Linked DNA regions of Drosophila melanogaster. The protein of the gene in region 3 purifies or fractionates together with the protein of the main gene of each other region. This does not show direct contact. Each region holds a gene or a part of one and is shown on either strand. Other genes may lie near its edges.

Region 1 (5,769 bases), on a different chromosome or scaffold from region 3:
TAAGCACGAACAAGTACGTCAAGTTCATCTTTCGGCTGCGATTAATTAACTAACTAGGCACACAAATGCTTAATGAGTAATAAACTTTTTAGCATTTAGAACAATGCTGGTGTAGGCGAATACTTTATGCGGCTGGCCAGCCGCTTTCAGTTGTATAAAACTATGTAATTTAATTGCACTTTACTTCGGAGTGGTTGATTAGGTTTCCGGCATCACGATGCGTTCTGTTTGCTCGCTGTTTTCATTTAAAATTCCTCATATCTAAAGATTTTCTTGTGGCCTGAAGAAAAAATTGAGAAGTATGCAAGAACCCTCTATGGCGTTGCCACCTCGTCAAAGCAAACAGCTGTTTTACGTTGATCCCTGGGTTAAATCAGAGTTGTCAACTTTATTATAATTTTTGGCGGGATATTTAAAGCTGACAGATGAAATTGGAAATTAACTTTTTTTAATTCATTAGCTGTAGTTTAAGTTTGAAAAGGTAATCACACATATACTCCCAAACATCATTTATCAAAAAGACATCGCTATTTTTATGGGGCAAAAATTTTTGCATTTATTCAAAGATTTCATACACATATAGCAAATTTGATCAGCATTAGCAACAAATTGGGTGCGATTTCGTCTCTTTCTCAATCTTCAGCAGTACGGACTACATCCACTTAAGTTTACCAATGGATTTTCGTTATTTGCACGCAAGCTCTGATCGTAACACAAATATTTAGTACTAAATAAATTTGGAATTGGCTTTTCAACGGATTAGGGAACGCCATCTAACCACGGAACTCAACGCCTAGAGAAGAAATAAAAGCGTAAAACAAATGTATATTCACTTTAACCGCAATGCATGATTTTCTAATGTTTTTACTAAGTATTAGAAACATTTGGGAATGACATCGGGTGGACCATCCAATGTGGTTTAGTCTTTAAACGTACACTTAGATTGATAGTTATATAAACGAATGCAGCAAGCCCTTGGATCTTCGATCCTCCGTGGCTTTAAATTTAAACAAGTCATGCAATTTGATGGTGTCTCCAAGGCAAATACAAATAGATGCATATAATATGTGCTCCCATTGGCAAATTTTTGACGCGCAGATTTTAGTTATATTAAGTATTATATAAACCGTATCGACACAGGTGTACATATGATTTCTGGTTAAATTAATTCTGATCCTGTTGTTAGTGCGCAGACACGACAATTCGCTTTAGTTAAATAAGTTAATAGAGTGGGTGCGTGGGTCTGTTTGTATGTAGTATAGGTTGCTCCACATTATCGACGCGCTTGGCCTTGCAGTTGCCCCGAAATCTATTTCGGGAGTGAGTCTGTGGGTGAATTCAGACCCGAGGATGTGTTATTCTCGTCCAGGGCATCTGGGAAACTGGACACCGAACCCGAGCGGGATGTCACCTTGGTCTACAATAGAACAGAAAACCGAACAGATTGTAGTAGAGGTGCAGTAGCATTTGCGCAAGGAGTAGTTCGTTGTGTAAGCAAGCAAATCAACCGAAGTATCCCAATTCAGAGTGCGTTTATAGTGGGTGAGCAAGTGTGAAAGATGTGTGGTTAGTGTTAGTTAGTTGGTTAGTTAGTGGCTAGTTAGTTAGACGGGAACCAAAACAGAATCGCAACAGTATGAGAGATGTGTAAAGACAGATATATAATAAAATAGTAGTTACCGCATGAGATTGGCACATAAAATTGTTGTGTTCATAGCTTACTTTAACGTTCTCGTAGGCAGAGCCCACCGAAGCCTCGATAGAACGCATCGATTCGGAGTTTTTCATTTGCGACAGTTTCGACGAAATGCCACTGGTGATGCTGCCAAACACCGAGGCGGTCTTCTCGCCCGTGGACTTTAGCACCGACTCAGTGCGTTGGTATCTAGGGGAGAGTACAAATAAATCCAACATTAGTTACTCATCTCGATAGTTTTCCTCCATACACAAAGTGGGCAAACATAGGTGCGCTTTAGTTACAAACAGGCGAGAGTTGGTTATTGTGTTAAAGGAAGTGGCGTGAAACACGGCGTTAGTCCGGTAACTCCAAAAGTACCCAATTAAAAATCAGCCTGAACCCAATTACTTACAGTGGTGCCTCGTACACCGTTTTAGTAAACGTGCCCACGCTCTGCTCCACCGATTGGTAACTAAATAAATACACGTTATAGCGTTTCAACAGGAGTTTGAAACAAAAAGCATGGTTAGAAATTAAAACTGTCTAGTCGGGTTAATTGCCCAGCAGAACTGCGAACGGTTCATAGACTTACACAGTGCTCTCCTTGAGGTTCTTAAGGCCCTGGTTCACGTCGTCCGTCACCTCCTTCCAGACGGTGATGCCCAGCTTGCGCTTGAGATCGGAGGCATGGCGCGTCTTGGAGGCTAGGACAGTTCGCAGCGTATTGATCTCTTCCTCAACGCGGGCGAGCTCCTGGAAATTGAAGTAGAAGTTAGCGTTCGAGCTGAGTAATCAAATTATGATCGTAAAACTGAAAACTTCCTTACCTGACTCCACTCAGCCCGACGCTGCTCCTTCTCCTCGACGGAAAGCGCAGCGAACTCGGCGGCAATTTCTGCGGATGCCACAGAATTAGCTGGAGATGCTGGCTCCGACAGGTTGGCTGTATTATCTGAACATGAAATAAAAAGCCATTAAATATATGCCAATCCAAGGGAACATTAAAACTTGGGGTGCTGTGTGGGGACTGTAGCTTAATTTCAATGTTGTCGGCGGGTAGTGTTTAAGTACCTCCTTTGAAAGCAACTTCCTCAAAGACTTTGTCATAGGCTGAATACACCGAATTTAGTTGTATATACGAGTATGTACAATTTGCAAAGACATGAGTTGGTTAATTGGTTAGATCTGGGTTTTTGTTAATACTCACAAACTGACGAGGCGAAAGGCAGGCAAAGGAGAAAGAAACAGAGAAGTTAGTCTGGTTAGTCATGGTTGAAAGTGGAAAAGCGAATGCCACAGAACAAAGACCCGACCTAAGCCCACCAACCCCCCTCCCCACTGACCGAATTTGGTACCTCTACTTCTATGCCCAATGTTGAGGAATCTCTTGTAGTTATCACTGTTTGATATTTTGGCCAGATACGGTTTGGAGAAGTCTATGAACGTGACCTTAACGTCGCGCATGGTTCGCTTGGCAAAGAACTTCAAGCGGAAGCGTTTGGCCATCGAAGACGATGGCGCTTGATTGGCCAACTTGGCGGCAATGAAGTCCGCCTCCACTGCCTGCAATTCCAGGCTGTTGGTGTAGTCCGAATCCACATCGTAGAATATCTGGTCTAGCGTCAGATTACGCAAATATAGCTCAGCCTCGCTCTCCTCCTGCCCATCGCCATACCAGTCCAAGACGGCATCATTGGTTTCCAGATCCAGTGACGGTGTGCTGGTGAGATCATCAATGCTTGGCAGATAGGGGTCTTCAATGAACTCCAGGCTATTCGGTTCCGATTCGCTCATTCTGTGGCAATAGCGGCGCTCTCTTTCATCTTTGGCAGCAACTTTCTATTTTGAACGTGGCAGCTGCTGGCGCAGGAGGCTCATATTGTCTTGGCCCAATCCTAAGCACATATCACGTTTCCACGGTCAGCAGCGAGCACATTTTTCTTGGCCCTGCTTTCAGCCACTTCGATCGTTCTTTGCTGAGCTTTCAGTTCTTGGCCCGCCGCGTTCCACATAAATTCCTCTCCCCATGCGATCGCAGCTGGTTTGTGGTGGTTCTTCTGTTTCTGTTTCGATTTCAGTTTCGTTTTCGCTTTCGATTCTGGGCCTGCTCCATCCACGCTCGTCTACAGCCAAATGCCAACTGACTCGATCTCGGCTTAGAAATTGGTAGATGTGGATTGGTTGGCCGCTTGGCTCCGCTTGTTGATGATTCGTGTCAGCACGAAGACGAGAAATGCCACAAGAAGAGCGCTAAACAAAAGGGGCAGCAACAGGCAGCAGCAGCAGTAGCAACCAGCAAGACTACAGTAGAGCTTGACTAAAAGTTACAGCTACGTAAATACATTAGCTCTATAGTAACCAACTTTACACTTCATTTAATTTATAAATTAATAAGCATGGGAAAGTTATAAAGCTAATAATATTTGCATAAATAATAAGTACGCTTTGATAAGACACTAGATATACATATATGTGTCTAATTTAATTGCAGCTAAAATGATTATTTTATCAGTCAAAAAGCTTTGATAAACCGAGACTTCAATTTATTAATTGAATAATATTCTTCTTTAATTGTACCTTTTAAATTTATTAAGTAAACAATTGTGAGGAGATGAACAACTTTAAAAATTGAAAAACCCTATGATAAGGAACTTTAAATATAACTATAAATAAAGTTTTTCTTTGCAAAAACGTACTGTACATAACTGTATCGCTTTGTTGGAGCCAAACAAAAAAAGGAAAATAATTCATAATTTAGCTTCTTGCTAAATAGCAATTACCAGTTTGGATTTTTCCGATTTTTCCCAGCTTCCTCCGACCATCAAGCACTGTATGAGCACAAAGCCACTGTGCCACATTGATGGACCCTATATCTACACTATATATATATATATATATATATGTGAGCTAGTTCTGGTTTGCTGCGAGTTCTTGCTGCTCAGAAGTGCCTGTTGTTGTGGCAGGCCCAATCCCATCGAGAAGTCAACAAGTGGAAGCCAATTACTAAGTGGTTTCGGTGGGGGAACAGAGCTCCGAACAATTATAGTGGCACCATGGTGATAAGCTCAGTGGGAGGAGGCGTTTTCAGATGATATGCATATCATAGCCGCCCTGCGGATGTTGCGCTTCTAAAAGCCACGTATGCATGGACGTCGGAAACCGAGAATGCAATACTTACACCACAAAGAACCTGACCCCCGCCCACCAAACGGATTGCCATCGATGGCATGTCGCAGAACTTCCACGGTAATCCGAATAGTTGGAAAGCCTTTCACCCTACGCAAATCGGAACCATGACTCATCTGCTGATTCCCAGCGCACCAAGGTTAACTCATTGTGTATTCTAAGTCCCCCAAAACTTTTGGCAAAGCCGCTGCTGAATCAGAGTCCTACAATAGTAATGATACCCGAATTACCCGAAAGGTCTTAGGTGTCCCAATCGCCCAGGTCACAAGAGCCCACGGAAACATGTGCCGCTGCATTGGAATTGCAATGATGCACTGCGTCCGTATGCCACACACTTACGGTCCTCCATTACGGCGTTGTCTCCGGAAGTCTGCGGCAATTTTGTTAACTATTTCGATGCCAACTGCACGCACTTGTCGCAAAACTTTCAAGTTGAAAATAATTTTTTGTTTCGCTTGCTTAGCTATCGATGGTTGCTAAAATAAATCGAAGGAATGTCACTATCGATAGCAGCTTTCGGTCAAAAATTCCATCTCTCGTGCACATAACTACACACAAAAAATTCACAAAATCGCTTAAGTAAATACGTAATGCGTAATAAACGTTCAAACAACAGAAATGGGTCAAATTTTACTCACTAAAAGCTCCAATCTTCGTTATCGATTGTAATTAAACTTGTTGCAGCTCGGTGAGAAACTAAGTTAGTTATCGACGCTGTGACACCACTACCTAGAGCTGCCAGATCGCGCCTTTATTCAAACAGAAAAGTTTCGGTTTAAAACTTTTGTATTTCAAAAGAAATAAGACATACGGTTGTATCTGCTATATCTGGGTTGAAAATTATAGTTAGAAATCGAATTGTTAATGAAAATATTTTGTTTTGCAGACAGCAATTGCCATTTGGC
Region 2 (2,875 bases), 3.3 Mb from region 3:
GTCACGGAACGGCGGCGGCGACGTCAATTGGAGCCAGAGCGATCTAAAGGTTTTAATTGCCTCAAATTGAATGTTTGTGCACGGCGACGCACCGATCAACTTAGATTACATGCTTAATTAATGCAAATTTATGGCGCACACAGAGTATCGAATGCCACACTGACCTCTCCATCCATTCATCGCCTCTTCCACAGGTGGTGCCTTCGAGGGAGTCATCGACGACCATGTCTCACCATTCGGCTACATGAAGGGCGAGGGCATCGATGCCGGCTACGGAGAGCACGAGTGGATCTGCAACAAGGACAAGCCGCGCACAGATGGCATCTTCAATGGGCTGGGACCAGTCGATGGCAAGATATCCGGTGCAAGTAAGTTTGTTATAACTCAAGGGGAAAATCGAAAACAATAATCCCATTCTTCGCCACTTGCAGCTGCCAAGCAGGAACTCATCAAATCGAAACTGCCCAACTCGGTGCTCAGCAAGATCTGGAAACTGTCGGACGTCGACGGCGATGGGTTCCTGGACTCTGACGAGTTCGCGCTGGCCTTGCACTTAATCAACGTCAAGCTGGAAGGCTGCGAGCTGCCCACCGTGCTGCCGGAGCACTTAGTACCGCCGTCGAAGCGCTATGACTAGTGTCCTGTAGCATACGCATACGCACACCCGATCACACAGCCTCACAATTCCCAAAAAAAAAAAAAAAACACAGCCGTACACAGATGTCGCATAGAGACCAACTCCTAGGATGCACTATGTTCGATTCTTTTGACTTTTAGCCACACAGTGCAGGCGACTGCCCTTTTATATGTACTATACTCGTTGTGAACGCGCCATTAATGCGCTGGGTATTAAAACACACACCGTATCACCGTATGACCGACCGTATGAGATATCAATCATAAATTCGTAGAATTTACACAAGCATATAGCATATTTTTGGATAATCGATTGTAAAGCAGGATGTAGAGTAGCAGCCTAGTGGAATAAGACAAGGAGTGTGTGTTAAGCGCCTAATTGTCATTGTTGACTTAAGGAAAGTGAAGTGTGGATAAACAATTGTTCAATGCCAATGAAAAAAGCATGAGTTAAACTGTATACAATATCTAGGTTAATGTCGATGTGCAGCTTGAAGGGCCATTAATTTGCAATCGTACCACTTTTGATACACAATAAATGTATTTTTGTTATACTACAAATTTACAATCGACGGAATCGTGGGTTACGGCATGTATTTCCTGTATTTATTTTGAAATATTATTAATTGTTTGAAATGCTCCCGCAAGGCAGGCCACTTGAAAGAGAAACGTGCAATTTACTGCCTGTGCTTCGACTATTTTGTAATTAGTGAATTCTTGAATATTAAATAATATTAAATGTGAAACTAATCTGATTTTTAAATTGTATAAAAGAATAAAATGAAACTATTTTGGAAGTGTTTGTTTGGAATGTGAATGGGGGTTCATTGTTATGGTAGCTTATATTTCAAGTTGATTTTTCTTTAATCAACAAAGTAGCTATGGCTTGAAAAACGTTTCAAAAGAGAATCAGTTACTTTTCAGTAAACTTTCAAATTTTAAACTTTTCGAAACTAACTGATTTCGGTATATTTTTCTGAACTGCTGGTATATTTAATCATTCGATCTGTGGTCACACCTCAAACCGGGCTAACTTTTGAGTTCAACTAAGTTCTTTAAGAATTACCATTAAAAATAAATATGGCCACCTACGAGGAAGTCAAGGACATTCCAAACCACCCGGAGAAGTACCTGTTCGATGTGCGCAACGAGTCGGAGCTGAAGGAGACGGGCGTCCTGCCCGCCAGCATAAACATTCCACGTGAGAAGCGCCAAAGTCCAGGGATTACCGGCTTAATGGACACGCCTTTTTCTAATTTCCAGTGAGCGAGCTGGAGAAGGCACTGAACTTGCCGGAGGAGGACTTCGCCCAGACTTATGGACGCGTCAAGCCGGCCGTCGATGCGGTCTTGATCTTCTCGTGCAAGGCGGGAGGACGCGCTGCCCGGGCGGCCAATCTGGCCAGCACGCTGGGCTTCACCAAGTGAGTCTCATGTTGAAGTACGTTTTAAAAGATATGTACAATTATTTATTAATCAATTGCAGCGCCAAGGCTTATGCCGGATCATGGACGGAGTGGCAGGCCAAGCAGTCCTAAAACATTCAGTCTTTAAACAAATTGATTACAAATCTATAAAATGATATAATAAACTACACGCTAACTTCCTTAAATTCACCCCAACTGCGTCCGATCCTCAGCTTCACCTTGAGTGGCACGCTGAGTTTCACGCAGTTCTCCATGGTGAGGCTAAGGACTTTGGCTATTTTTTTGGCCTTTCCCGTTGGCACCTCGAAAATGAGTTCGTCATGTAGGTGCATTACCAGGTCAACTGAATTGTCACCCAATGCCAGCTTTTCGCGATAACGTTCAATGTTCTTTTCCATCTTCAGAATAGCGTTCTTCGCAATATCCGCAGCCGATCCTTGGATGGTGGAGTTAACGGCCTGGCGCTCGGCCTGATCTGTGAGAAAGGGAGAAAGGAGGGATGTTCAAATGGAGATCACAATCGGTTTTGGAAGACACATACTTTTTAGATGCTCCACATCACTGTTGATATTTTCCAAATACCGTCGCCGTCCAGTAATGGTCTCAACAAATCCCTTGCTGCGTGCGAAATTGACCACCCTCGTGGTGTAATCGCGAATACCCTTGTACGCCTGGTGAAACTGATCGGATATCATCCGCGCCTCCTGCTCACTGCAGTTTAACGACTCGGCCAGGGACCGCATGCCCATGCCGTAGACGATTCCGTAGCACACCTGCTTGGTGCTGTTGCGGAGGTCCTGCGTCACTTCGGAC
Region 3 (5,460 bases):
TTACGTACGCAGCTGATCCGCCTTTTTCGCCGGAGGTTTGGCTGTTGTCCAGTCTATATGTAGTACTACTCCTAGCACCAAAAGCAAGCCCGTCAAAAAGTATTGGTTCATTTTGTGTTTCCTTGCGATCTCCTTGAAGCTCTGGCAGTGGTCACTGGCTTTCGGCTTCTGGTGGCTGCCCAGTTGTTCGATTTTCTTTTATAGCAACGTCTGGCATGGCCAAAAGCCGACTAATTCTCTGTTCTGCCGCATGTGCAATTTCCCGTGACATTGCAATCCTCAGCAAGTTTCATTTCAATTGACCAAGCCAAGCTATATACAGCTGTTTATTCAGAAATTAAGCGGTCTGTCTATATATATATATACATACATATATATATGTCATAAAATTATATAATCTACTGTGGATTGAATATATAGCAAGTATTGATATAGTAACATACACATCTGGAAATCAGATCAAATGCAAGTGCACTATTTCACGATACCGCGAACATAAATTAAGTCGTGTAAACACTTGGGTTTTCCAGTGAAAAAGCGTAGCTAGTAAAAAATAAGGTTTGTCATTTATTTCAATGTTCGTAACACATATTTCTAAACAAAAAAAAAAACGTTTCCAAATGAGAACATTAAAGATTCTATGAAACTAATAAAGCTAATTAATTGGATAAGCGGGCAATAACAAAAAATCGAAATACACATTTGTATGATTTCGAATGGAGAAATATTTATGCGGTTTGATTGAAATCAAATTAAAATGTATGGTCGACCAGAATGCACACTAATAGTGATCAATTTTCATTTCATTAACAAGTCTGTAACCCAAATGATTTATTAGTAAATTTTTAACAGTTTTCTGTATTAACTTACATGTTGTTAATCCTTTCTGCCTCTTCGATAGCGTTTATCGTGCGTAGAGAGTCAAATGGATCCGAGCTGGGTGAGCCAGAGCTTATAGCTAGGCGGTCCATCGCTGCGCTTAGCTCAAGCTTCGGAGGTGGTGTGCTTGAGGCTGACATCAACATCTGCAAGTTAATCTGAAATATCTCCTTCTTGATGTCGCAAAATTGTTGTAGAAGGACCGGGATGGACTCCTTGGTCTTAAAATATAAGTAATGCATGTGATCGATAGACTTGGGCAGATGTCTAGCCTCGCCCTCGTTATATAACTTGAAACGAGATTTTGCGAATTCCTCGGCGTCATTATTTAACTCTGATGGCGAAATTATCGCACCATTGCAGAGATATTTCTTATAAAATCGAGCGCTAAGAATTAAAAAATAAAAACGCTGCATTATACATATTGGTCTGGTCATTTGATATAAAAACCTTACCAATCGAATAGGTCTTTCTCGCAAACTTCTTTCCGTAGTTGATTGGTGGTTTTAACCATGTCCTTGGCTTCCCGCAAGCAGGCTTCCAAGAAAGACCTAATTGATTTTGCGCTTTGTATAATGAAATTATAATTGCGGTTAAGCTTCTCCCACTGTGCACTGCTGATAAGCTGGAAAAAAACACTGAATTACTACGGGATTAAGGAGTATAGTAAGAACTGCTACCTGGCGGGACGGAATCTTTGCTTGGGCTTCTTTTAGCAAGCTTGTTAGCTGATCATAGGCAAAGGAGATTATGATACGCTGCTTATCGATGCTGTCTATAAACGAGTTTTCCATCATTTCGTCTTCCAACGACAACGCTCGCTCGTTTATTCCTGACACGAGCATTTCGTATCTTGCTTGCTCTTTGGTTAGCACGTAGAGCATATCCAAGACAACACGTTTTTGCAGCCATCTTTCCTTCGTCTTAAATTTGTTAGCGATAAACTTTCGAGAAAGAATTGATAGAATGGGTTCAGGTATTTTGTAGTCACACTCTTTCTTGACCTGAAAGATGTACAACATCACAGGTGGATTGCTGCGCTTAGTCCACTTTCGTGAATCTTTGCTTGTGTCACTCCACTCCTCCACATACAGCTGCAAGGGCGTACTTTTAGGCGTAATCGTTTTGTGCGGATGGGAAGTGGGCAGCACGAAGTACAGTTCCTTTTCGTCCATTCCAGTGTCCAGGACAATCAACGCAATTAGATCCTTCATAGTCATCTCCGCAGAGACCGCATACTCAAGTCGTTCGCAGTTGTTAACAGCAAAAATAGTTAGCACATTCATATTGAGTATTTTGTCCAGGTCAGCGAAGACGACTGGAACGTTATTAGCTGCTAGTTGACCGCGTTCCTTGTAGTTTGAGTTTAACGGGCTTGCCAGCCATTTGGTGAACTGAGCAGCCCAGGGCCGCGACAGATGGTGCGTCTGTGGCAGTTCAAACTGATTCACGAAACGAGTGTTATCCTCCGGATCCTCTGTGATAGCAATGCATTTGGCGGGCTTTTTTATCAGATTGAGTATAATGTTTTTAAGGGTTTGATGGGGGATGAAGGGCAGCTCACCAGTGACCAGCTCATAGGCAATTACTCCGAAGGACCATAAATCCACGGTCGAGTTGTAAAAACCATTTTCCACCACTTCTGGGGCATAGTAATGTCGGGTGCCCACCACGCTCTGCACCATGGTCTGGTCGGGAGTTCCTCGGGCGAGTCCAAAATCGGTTAGCTTATAGATTTTTTTGCCATCAACTCCACGTTGGATTACTATATTGTCCGGCTTCAAATCGCGGTGGCAAATCCCACACTGCGAGTGCAGAAAATGTAGGGCCTTACGTAGGGCTCCCAGTATCTGCCGCACCTCGAACTCCGTCAGACCATTAGCATTCTCCGGGCTCTGCAGACGCTTCCTCACGTCTCCACCGTTACAGTATTCCAGCACAATAACAGGCAACTTGGCACTAAACATGCCATTCAGGTACTCCAAAAAGTCCGGATCCTCGATGTCCACGCCAGCCACAATATGGGGAAAGTTTTTAAACTGACGAGACCAGTTCAGCTCCTTGTTCCAACGCTCGCTGAGCTTGACTTGCTGATCGGCACTCAGGGCCCCCATCTCCTTTATGTGCTTGGTGGCTATGTGGAAAATAAATAAACACTTAAGACTGACGCTTAAAATATCTGCCATATCGGCTAACTCAGCCGAAAGGCTATAAGCGACATATCTAATGCGGAGACCACACCAAACGCGCAAAACTCGAGCCCTCTATCACTATCAGTGGACCACCCGGAAACGCATGCCTCAGCTCGGTTTCTGGGAATTGTTGGACAACAAACATGTTCATATGTATATGTATGTTGTTTTTATGGTTTTATTATTTGGATATATACAAAATACAACAAAAAATTTATTTATTTATGAGTAAGGCTGGAAAGGGGGAGGGTGTTTGGGGGCTGGTAATGTGTGTTTGCGAAAAAGAAAATCCTTAAAATATTTATATGTATATGTATATTAGTGTTAGCCCATAAGGTGTTTATAGCTCACCAATTTCACGGCCCGTTGTTCGGTTTCGCCAATGGATCACTAGGCCGAATCCGCCCTCTCCCAGATTCCGGCACCGCTCCCAGTTCCCAAAAGAGTGCATCTTGTTGTTTTCGTTAAGCTTTATTTTATTTACGGAGCTCATTCTTCCAAGAATCTGAATCCCTCCATGGCAATCGGAAAAGCAAAACACCACAGTGATCATACAAGATTTGCGATATTCGATTGCTTATACACTAGTCATCGTTCAGCAGCAATCGCGGTCACGAGAATTTTGTTTAGAGGAGCGCTCAGCTGCAGCCACTTTCAATTGGGATGCATACCTTTAAATAAACTGGACGAATTGGGATACCCAAAAACGTTTTTAATTGAAGCTTAGAAATGGTGGCTTAAAATGTCAACTGCTACTGAAGTCACCCTTCGGTCACTATTTGCTTCACTCGCCTCAATTTTTATCGATTAAGTTATCGCAACGAAGTGACATCGCTAATCAAACAGGTTGTAAACAAAACGCTGAAAAATAACTTTAGTTTAGTGAAAATAGTAATACTCCTGCATGCTTGAGCTAAGATGCGTTTCCACATGAAGAGCGGCAGCGAGGACAATGACATTGTGGCGGCCACAGCCACTGCCGAGCATATCCGCAAGTTTGTCTTCAGCGGATCACCCGCCGAGCGACTGGAGATCAAAATACCTGAGGTAATCCTTAGAACCAGGTGTTCGTGTAGTATCTAAAGTGTCCGCCTACAGCTGCTTCAGGGTGCCTACTCCTTCTACACATGGCCTTGCGCACCAATTTTAGCCCACTTCCTGTGGGAGCGCCGACAGACACTGGCGGGCAAGCGCATCCTGGAGCTGGGAAGCGGCACCGCCCTGCCCGGCATTCTGGCGGCCAAATGCCGCGCCCAAGTGGTACTTACTGACAACTGCATTCTGCCCAAGTCACTGGCCCATATCCGAAAGTCCTGCCTGGCCAATCAACTGCAGCCGGGCGTTGATATCGATGTGGTGGGCCTGAGTTGGGGCCTGCTGCTGAACAGCGTGTTCCGACTGCCGCCTCTGGACCTTATCATTGCAGCAGACTGCTTCTACGATCCCAGCGTGTTCGAGGATATCGTGGTCACAGTTGCTTTTCTGCTGGAGCGAAATGCCGGGGCCAAATTTATATTTACATACCAGGAGCGGAGCGCCGACTGGTCCATAGAGGCGCTGCTCAAGAAGTGGAAGCTGCAGGCTTTACCCATCAGCATGGAGGACATTGGCAAGGAGTCGGGAGTGGATCTGCTGGAGTTTATGGGCGGACACACTATTCATCTTCTGGAGATCACGCGCATCGAAAGCGATGGCTCAATAAATACAACATAACAATTATACAATTGGCTTTTTTTATGCTGAATGTCAAATCTCTCTTAGTTAATGTTCTACACGGGAATGCTCCCAAACATCAAATAAATATTTGCCTGTGGTAATCGCTTGAAATCAATGTTGGCCAAATATTTGGAAATATATGTTTAAAATTTAGCGCGTACCTATCAAAGTTTTCCACCCAGCACACTAATTCTAGGTTTTAGGGGATGCTAGAGTTGTGAGTAGCGGTCACACTGGCGCAACGACGCTGTTGGAAAACTGCGAAAATTATTATTTATTTACCTACCGCGAAACCAAGTAAATTCCGCTGCACAAAAGAGGCTCGAAGTGCTGGAAACGTAGTTAAGTTATTGTTCATTGTTGCTACATTACTTGGCATCCCGGAAAGACCCCGTCGGTGTGTCTTTGTCGAATAAGTGTGCGTGCTTCTGTGTTGTGCCGTGTGTAAGTGTTGGTACGTCGTCGCCTGCGAAAAATCGAAGTTATTGCATTGCGCAGCCCTTTCAAGCCGCTGTCCCTGGCCAGCTGTAAGTCCCGCAGCTCCTCGCCCAGTCCCCGCTCTACGGCGGTACTTGGATCACAATTCTGATGGTGAGTGTGCTAGTGCGTGTACCGGAATGCACTCGGATGCATCGCGATTTTGTTCCAGGGCGTCGCAATTTGTTTGTCGCTA
Region 4 (4,688 bases), 6.4 Mb from region 3:
GCCGCCCAGCATGACGGACTGCTTGAGCGACTGCTCCAACTGGACCACTCTCCGCTTTAAACGCTCATTTTCCGCCTTGGCTTCCTGCAATCAGGGTCAGTAAGTGGGTGCAGCCCGTGGAGACGAGTAACTAACCTCAAAGTCTTTGCGGAGCGCTCCGATCCGTTTGCGAGACTCCTCTAGTAGTGCCTGTTTTTCGCTTTCCAACGTGAAAACCATGTCCAGCAGTTCGTTCTGCGGCTGCTCCGGCTGACGCACTTCCTCCTGCCCATTTGCTGTTATATTGTTGTTTAGGTCACCGCCAACAGCTTCATCTTCGTTATGATCGGCCATTTTATGAAGAATTCTTTTTAAATGATAAAAATTCGTAGAGCAATGTGCGTTTTCCGTGCTTTTTGGGATGTGTTTTCTTTTTGTATTAATAGACCAAATAGATGCACGCTCTATTTATAGGACATCCCACTCTCCGGATCGCTCTCTGCCTGCTCTTGGCCAGATCGCTCTCCCGAAATAACAAACTGTTTCCCTCCAATTTAGTTTACGCCTCAGCATATTCTGAAGATCAGTTTATTATACATTGAAGCATGGATGAGAAAGGATTGCGGATGTGCGGTGTTAATACAGATCGCGAAGGGCAACACAATTAAATTGTTGTTACAATCAATGGGGCGACAATTGAAAGTGAGTGATTTGATTAAAATTAAATGCCTAAACAAGATAGAAGAAATGTGCTTCGCTCGCGGTGAAGAATGTCTAACCGTCCAGCTCGCCGGCAGCGCATGCATCGGCGTAACTCTTGCCGCTCTTGTCCTCCGGATTCAGCTTGATCATGTCGTCAATACGCAAAATGGTAATGGCGGCCTCCGTGGCGAACTTCAGCGACTTGATCTTGGACATGGCGGGCTCCAAAACTCCAGCCTTCTTGTTGTCCCTTACCACTCCCTCGATCAGATCCAGACCGGTCCACTTAAGATCCGAACGCTCGGGCTTCGTCTGGCTGGAGTTGTGGTAGGAGCGGAGCTTGGCCACTAGATCAGTGGCATCCTTGGCCGCGTTCACGGACAGAGTCTTGGGAATGACCAGCAGCGACTTTGCGAATTCGGCAATGGCCAGCTGTTCGCGGGAAGCCAGCGAGGTGGCAAAGTTCTCCAGGTAGATCGACAAAGCAGCCTCCACACAGCCGCCGCCGGCTACAACCTTCTTGCTCTCCAGCACACGCTTCACCACGCACAGAGCGTCGTGGACGGAGCGCTCCATCTCATCACAGTAGAAGTCATTGGGACCACGCAAGATAATGGATGCGGCAGCACTAAAAAGGCATAGGGATACGATAAAGCAAACTATGTTACTGCATGATATAATCTGCACTTACCGTGCCTTAGTGCCCTTGATGAGGATAAGTTCATCATCGCAGATGCGCTCCTGGGCCACCTCTGCGGCCTCTCCCACCATTGAGGCATCGAAGCTCTCCTCACCGTCCATGTTGGTCAGCGAGGTAATAAAGGCGGCGCCGGTAGCCTTAGCAATGATCTTCAGATCGCTCTTCTTCACACGACGCACAGCCATGGCTCCAGCCTCAACGAAGTACTTCATGCACAAATCATCAACGCCGCCGCTAACCAGTACTACATTGACACCGGTTCCGAGGATCATGTTGATGCGCTCCTTGGTAATGTCCAGCTCACGGGCACGAATAGCCTCCAGCTTGTCGGGATCATTGATCAAGACCTGGACACCCATCTTCATCTTGGTCTTCTGCAGCGAGAAGTCTAGGCAGGCAATCTTGGCGTTCACAATCTTCTTGGGCATCTGCTGGGAGGCAATTGTGCAGTTCAAGGCATAGCCGGGAATCAGCACCGATTCCCTGGCAGACTTGCCATGGGCCTTCAGGACATTGATGGCTTTAATCGAATAGGCTGCCTGCCCACGGGGATCTGTGATTTTCACCGACTGGGCAGCGTCCACAACCATGGCTGAGAAGAACTCTGCGTCAGCACCAATGATCTTGGAGCTCATCGAGGTCTTGGCAATGTTAATCAGGGAATCGCGGCCCAGCTCATCAACGGGAGCGGTCAGATGCTCCGAGATGTACTTGCAGGCCTCCTTGCAGGCAATGCGGTAGCCGGAGATTATGGAGGTAGGATGAATCTTCTGCTTGACCAGCTCGTCGGCGTTTTTCAGCAGCTCAGCGGCCAGGATAACCACCGAGGTAGTGCCATCGCCGACCTCCTCGTCCTGCAGCTGAGCCAGCTCAACCAGGACCCTTAAAATTTAGAAATGAGTACTTCTTTGAAAGATTTCCCACATCAACAACTCACTTGGCTGCCGGGTGCTCCACCTCCAGCAGTCGCAGAATGGTGGCTCCATCGTTGGTCACTGTGACATCGCCGATGTCGTCCACCAGCATCTTGTCCAGACCCACGGGTCCCAAGGAGCTTTTCACGATGTTCGATATGGACAGAGCGGCCATAACTGAAAGCATATAAAAGCCGAGTTGTAGTCATAACCTCACTTCGCATAGGCTTGTCCACAGGATCTTGTAGCTCCTTGGATTCAATGAGTTTTTTTGTTAATCCAATTAAAATAAGATCGCCCTCCCCCGGGTTGGTTCCGGAACATTCTTCGTGGAGAGCGTGACCCGCGATGAGTAAGAAACGTGCTCCGCCGGCAGACGCACCGCAGATGTTGACAAAACCCCGGGATTCTCACCGTTCTGTGTGCGCACCGATGCGCCGGATTGGCGGGTGCCAGCAATGGACAGAGGAGAGGCCAGGGTCGACATTTTCCTAAGTTCTTCCGCGACTTTTAATAAAAAACAGATAAATCAAATACGCTGAAAAACCGCACGTTAAACCGCCTGACTCACTTTAAGACTTCGAGATGAACAAAAACCCGATGTCGATTCGATACTATCGAGTGCAAGATTTTTTCTTGGAGAGCAAGGATTCCATAACATTTATAAGTTTATACTATGTGTTACATTAGCGCAGCATCAAAAATATATAGAACATATATTGGCTTATTTATTATTAGGCATATTTTGCAGCACATTCAAAGCGGCGTTCAAAGTATCGATGGTAATCGATAACCGATTGTTTAGGGAACCCTGGTTGAGCATCAGGTAACGGTTTTTTAAATATTAATTCAAGATTATTATTAATTATTAATTATTAATTATAAAATTGTGCTTTCTGATGGAGTAAAAGTATTCAGTAGGCATTGACTTTGATTTCGCATTACATATCGTGTGCTCTGTAAGATATTTTCAGTTTACCTCTTGATCTCAACGATATACAGCCCAAATCGAAGCATTTCTTACATCTACAACAAATTGTTAAAGTAAACATTTTTTTTAACTTTTATTTATTACGATAAAGATGTCAGACTGCGGAGCGCGCCCCAAAAAACCCATGAGCGCCTTCATGTTGTGGATGAATTCCACCGGGCGGAAGCACATAAAAGCGGAGCATCCCGATTTTAGTGTCCAAGAAGTGTCTGTGAAGGGCGGAGAGATGTGGCGAGCCATGGCCGATGAGGACAAGATCGTGTGGCAGGAGTCGGCCACCACGGCAATGGCCGAGTACAAGGAGAAGTTGAAGCAGTGGAATTTCCCCAAGGAGCACCGCTTTTCGGACACGCAATGTATTTGTTCCTCAAATACTAACCAATGCCCCACCCTTTTTGTGTACGACACCATGGATGACTCGATGACTCCGATCTGCAGGAAGTGCTTATCAAAGACCAGGTGCCTTCACTAAGCGTTTACTACATTTGTTAATTTATTGTTGTACTAAAATCCACAAGCTAATATAAATTTGTTTTTGATAAATTTAAATATTAACACTTTTCGTAGCATACATACAGAAGCGCACCATCAGCCGAAAATGCTTGGCTGTACTCTCCAAGTTTTCCATGTCCTATCTCGCGGGTCTTGGACCAGTATGGCCAACAAAAATCTGTGAAAGCACTTTGCTGGCGGCTTGTTAAAAAAGAGGGAAAACGAATGAAAAACTCGCTAGCCATCAGCGTTTCAACGGTTTGGGGTCCTTTTTTCATAGTTACCTTATTGAATTTTAAAGATCGCACAAAGTATGCCGTGTTACATGCATAATGAGTTACTATAGTGGCTATGGCCTACGAATACGAACGGCTGGGAAAGTGAAAACGTGATTGCATGGCAGGAACATAAATTAAAACTTTGCCTTTTAACTCAATTAACAATGTGGTGTGCGCAGAAAAAAAAGGGAAAACAGTGAAAGTTATTTACTATTTTTAATGGAAAGTTATTTGTAATTACCTACTCAAACTGGCACTAATTAGCGCGAGTTTTTAACTTTTCTTACTTTCACAAAGTTCGCGGAATTAATCCAGGCTATACAGTATTTTTCAGCAGCACATTCAAAGCCACCTTACAGATATTGCTGGAAACCGATAACCGATTGTTTTGGAAGCCCTGGTTGAAAATCATGGTAACGCTTTTTTAAATACTAAATATTGGTGCCTTAAAAATATGCCCTATAATAAATTAAAACTATTCAGTAGGCATTGACTTTGATTTCGCATTACTTATCATGTGCTCTGTAAGATATTTTTAGTTTCGTCTGGATCTCAACGATATTCAGTCCAAATCGTAGAATTTCTTACATCTACTACAAATTTTCCAATTAAATTTTTAAAGTAAACATTTT

What was found.
Region 1: the proteins of IKKbeta (region 3) and CG5174 purify together in Drosophila melanogaster (affinity purification with mass spectrometry, with the first as the bait; one large-scale study listed by BioGRID). This does not show direct contact.
Region 2: the proteins of IKKbeta (region 3) and CG12279 purify together in Drosophila melanogaster (affinity purification with mass spectrometry, with the first as the bait; one large-scale study listed by BioGRID). This does not show direct contact.
Region 4: the proteins of IKKbeta (region 3) and CCT1 purify together in Drosophila melanogaster (affinity purification with mass spectrometry, with the first as the bait; one large-scale study listed by BioGRID). This does not show direct contact.

Annotation. Positions count from the first base shown.
Region 1 is NT_033778.4:18,420,988-18,426,756, reverse strand, and holds CG5174 (uncharacterized protein), read right to left. Parts: upstream 3,826-5,769; 5' UTR 3,473-3,825; coding exon 3,022-3,472; intron 2,889-3,021; coding exon of another isoform or gene 2,886-2,888; intron 2,789-2,885; coding exon of another isoform or gene 2,750-2,788; intron 2,631-2,749; coding exon 2,506-2,630; intron 2,432-2,505; coding exon 2,271-2,431; intron 2,151-2,270; coding exon 2,091-2,150; intron 1,886-2,090; coding exon 1,681-1,885; intron 1,418-1,680; coding exon 1,310-1,417; 3' UTR 794-1,309; coding exon of another isoform or gene 752-793; 3' UTR 536-751; downstream 1-535. Other genes in the region: PIG-O (phosphatidylinositol glycan anchor biosynthesis class O), read right to left, coding at 1-28.
Region 2 is NT_033777.3:12,703,445-12,706,319, forward strand, and holds CG12279 (uncharacterized protein), read left to right. Parts: upstream 1-1,649; 5' UTR 1,650-1,716; coding exon 1,717-1,837; intron 1,838-1,899; coding exon 1,900-2,059; intron 2,060-2,078; exon of another isoform or gene 2,079-2,121; coding exon 2,122-2,173; 3' UTR 2,174-2,226; downstream 2,227-2,875. Other genes in the region: Past1 (putative achaete scute target 1), read left to right, coding at 195-368, 432-637; PolQ (DNA polymerase theta), read right to left, coding at 2,227-2,537, 2,604-2,875.
Region 3 is NT_033777.3:16,045,799-16,051,258, forward strand, and holds IKKbeta (I-kappaB kinase beta), read right to left. Parts: upstream 3,624-5,460; 5' UTR 3,523-3,623; coding exon 3,423-3,522; intron 3,363-3,422; exon of another isoform or gene 3,233-3,362; intron 3,014-3,232; coding exon 1,560-3,013; intron 1,505-1,559; coding exon 1,335-1,504; intron 1,267-1,334; coding exon 871-1,266; intron 816-870; coding exon 782-815; 3' UTR 549-781; downstream 1-548. Other genes in the region: Jhbp5 (juvenile hormone binding protein 5), read right to left, coding at 9-111; CG5013 (uncharacterized protein), read left to right, coding at 3,990-4,118, 4,170-4,784.
Region 4 is NT_033777.3:22,488,550-22,493,237, forward strand, and holds CCT1 (chaperonin containing TCP1 subunit 1), read right to left. Parts: upstream 2,891-4,688; 5' UTR 2,867-2,890; exon of another isoform or gene 2,803-2,866; 5' UTR 2,783-2,802; coding exon 2,710-2,782; intron 2,473-2,709; coding exon 2,319-2,472; intron 2,264-2,318; coding exon 1,373-2,263; intron 1,310-1,372; coding exon 754-1,309; 3' UTR 556-753; downstream 1-555. Other genes in the region: CG5376 (uncharacterized protein), read right to left, coding at 1-84, 136-333; tHMG1 (testis-enriched HMG-box-containing protein 1), read left to right, coding at 3,378-3,758; tHMG2 (testis-enriched HMG-box-containing protein 2), read left to right, coding at 4,467-4,469. UniProt on the Drosophila melanogaster protein: Molecular chaperone; assists the folding of proteins upon ATP hydrolysis. Known to play a role, in vitro, in the folding of actin and tubulin.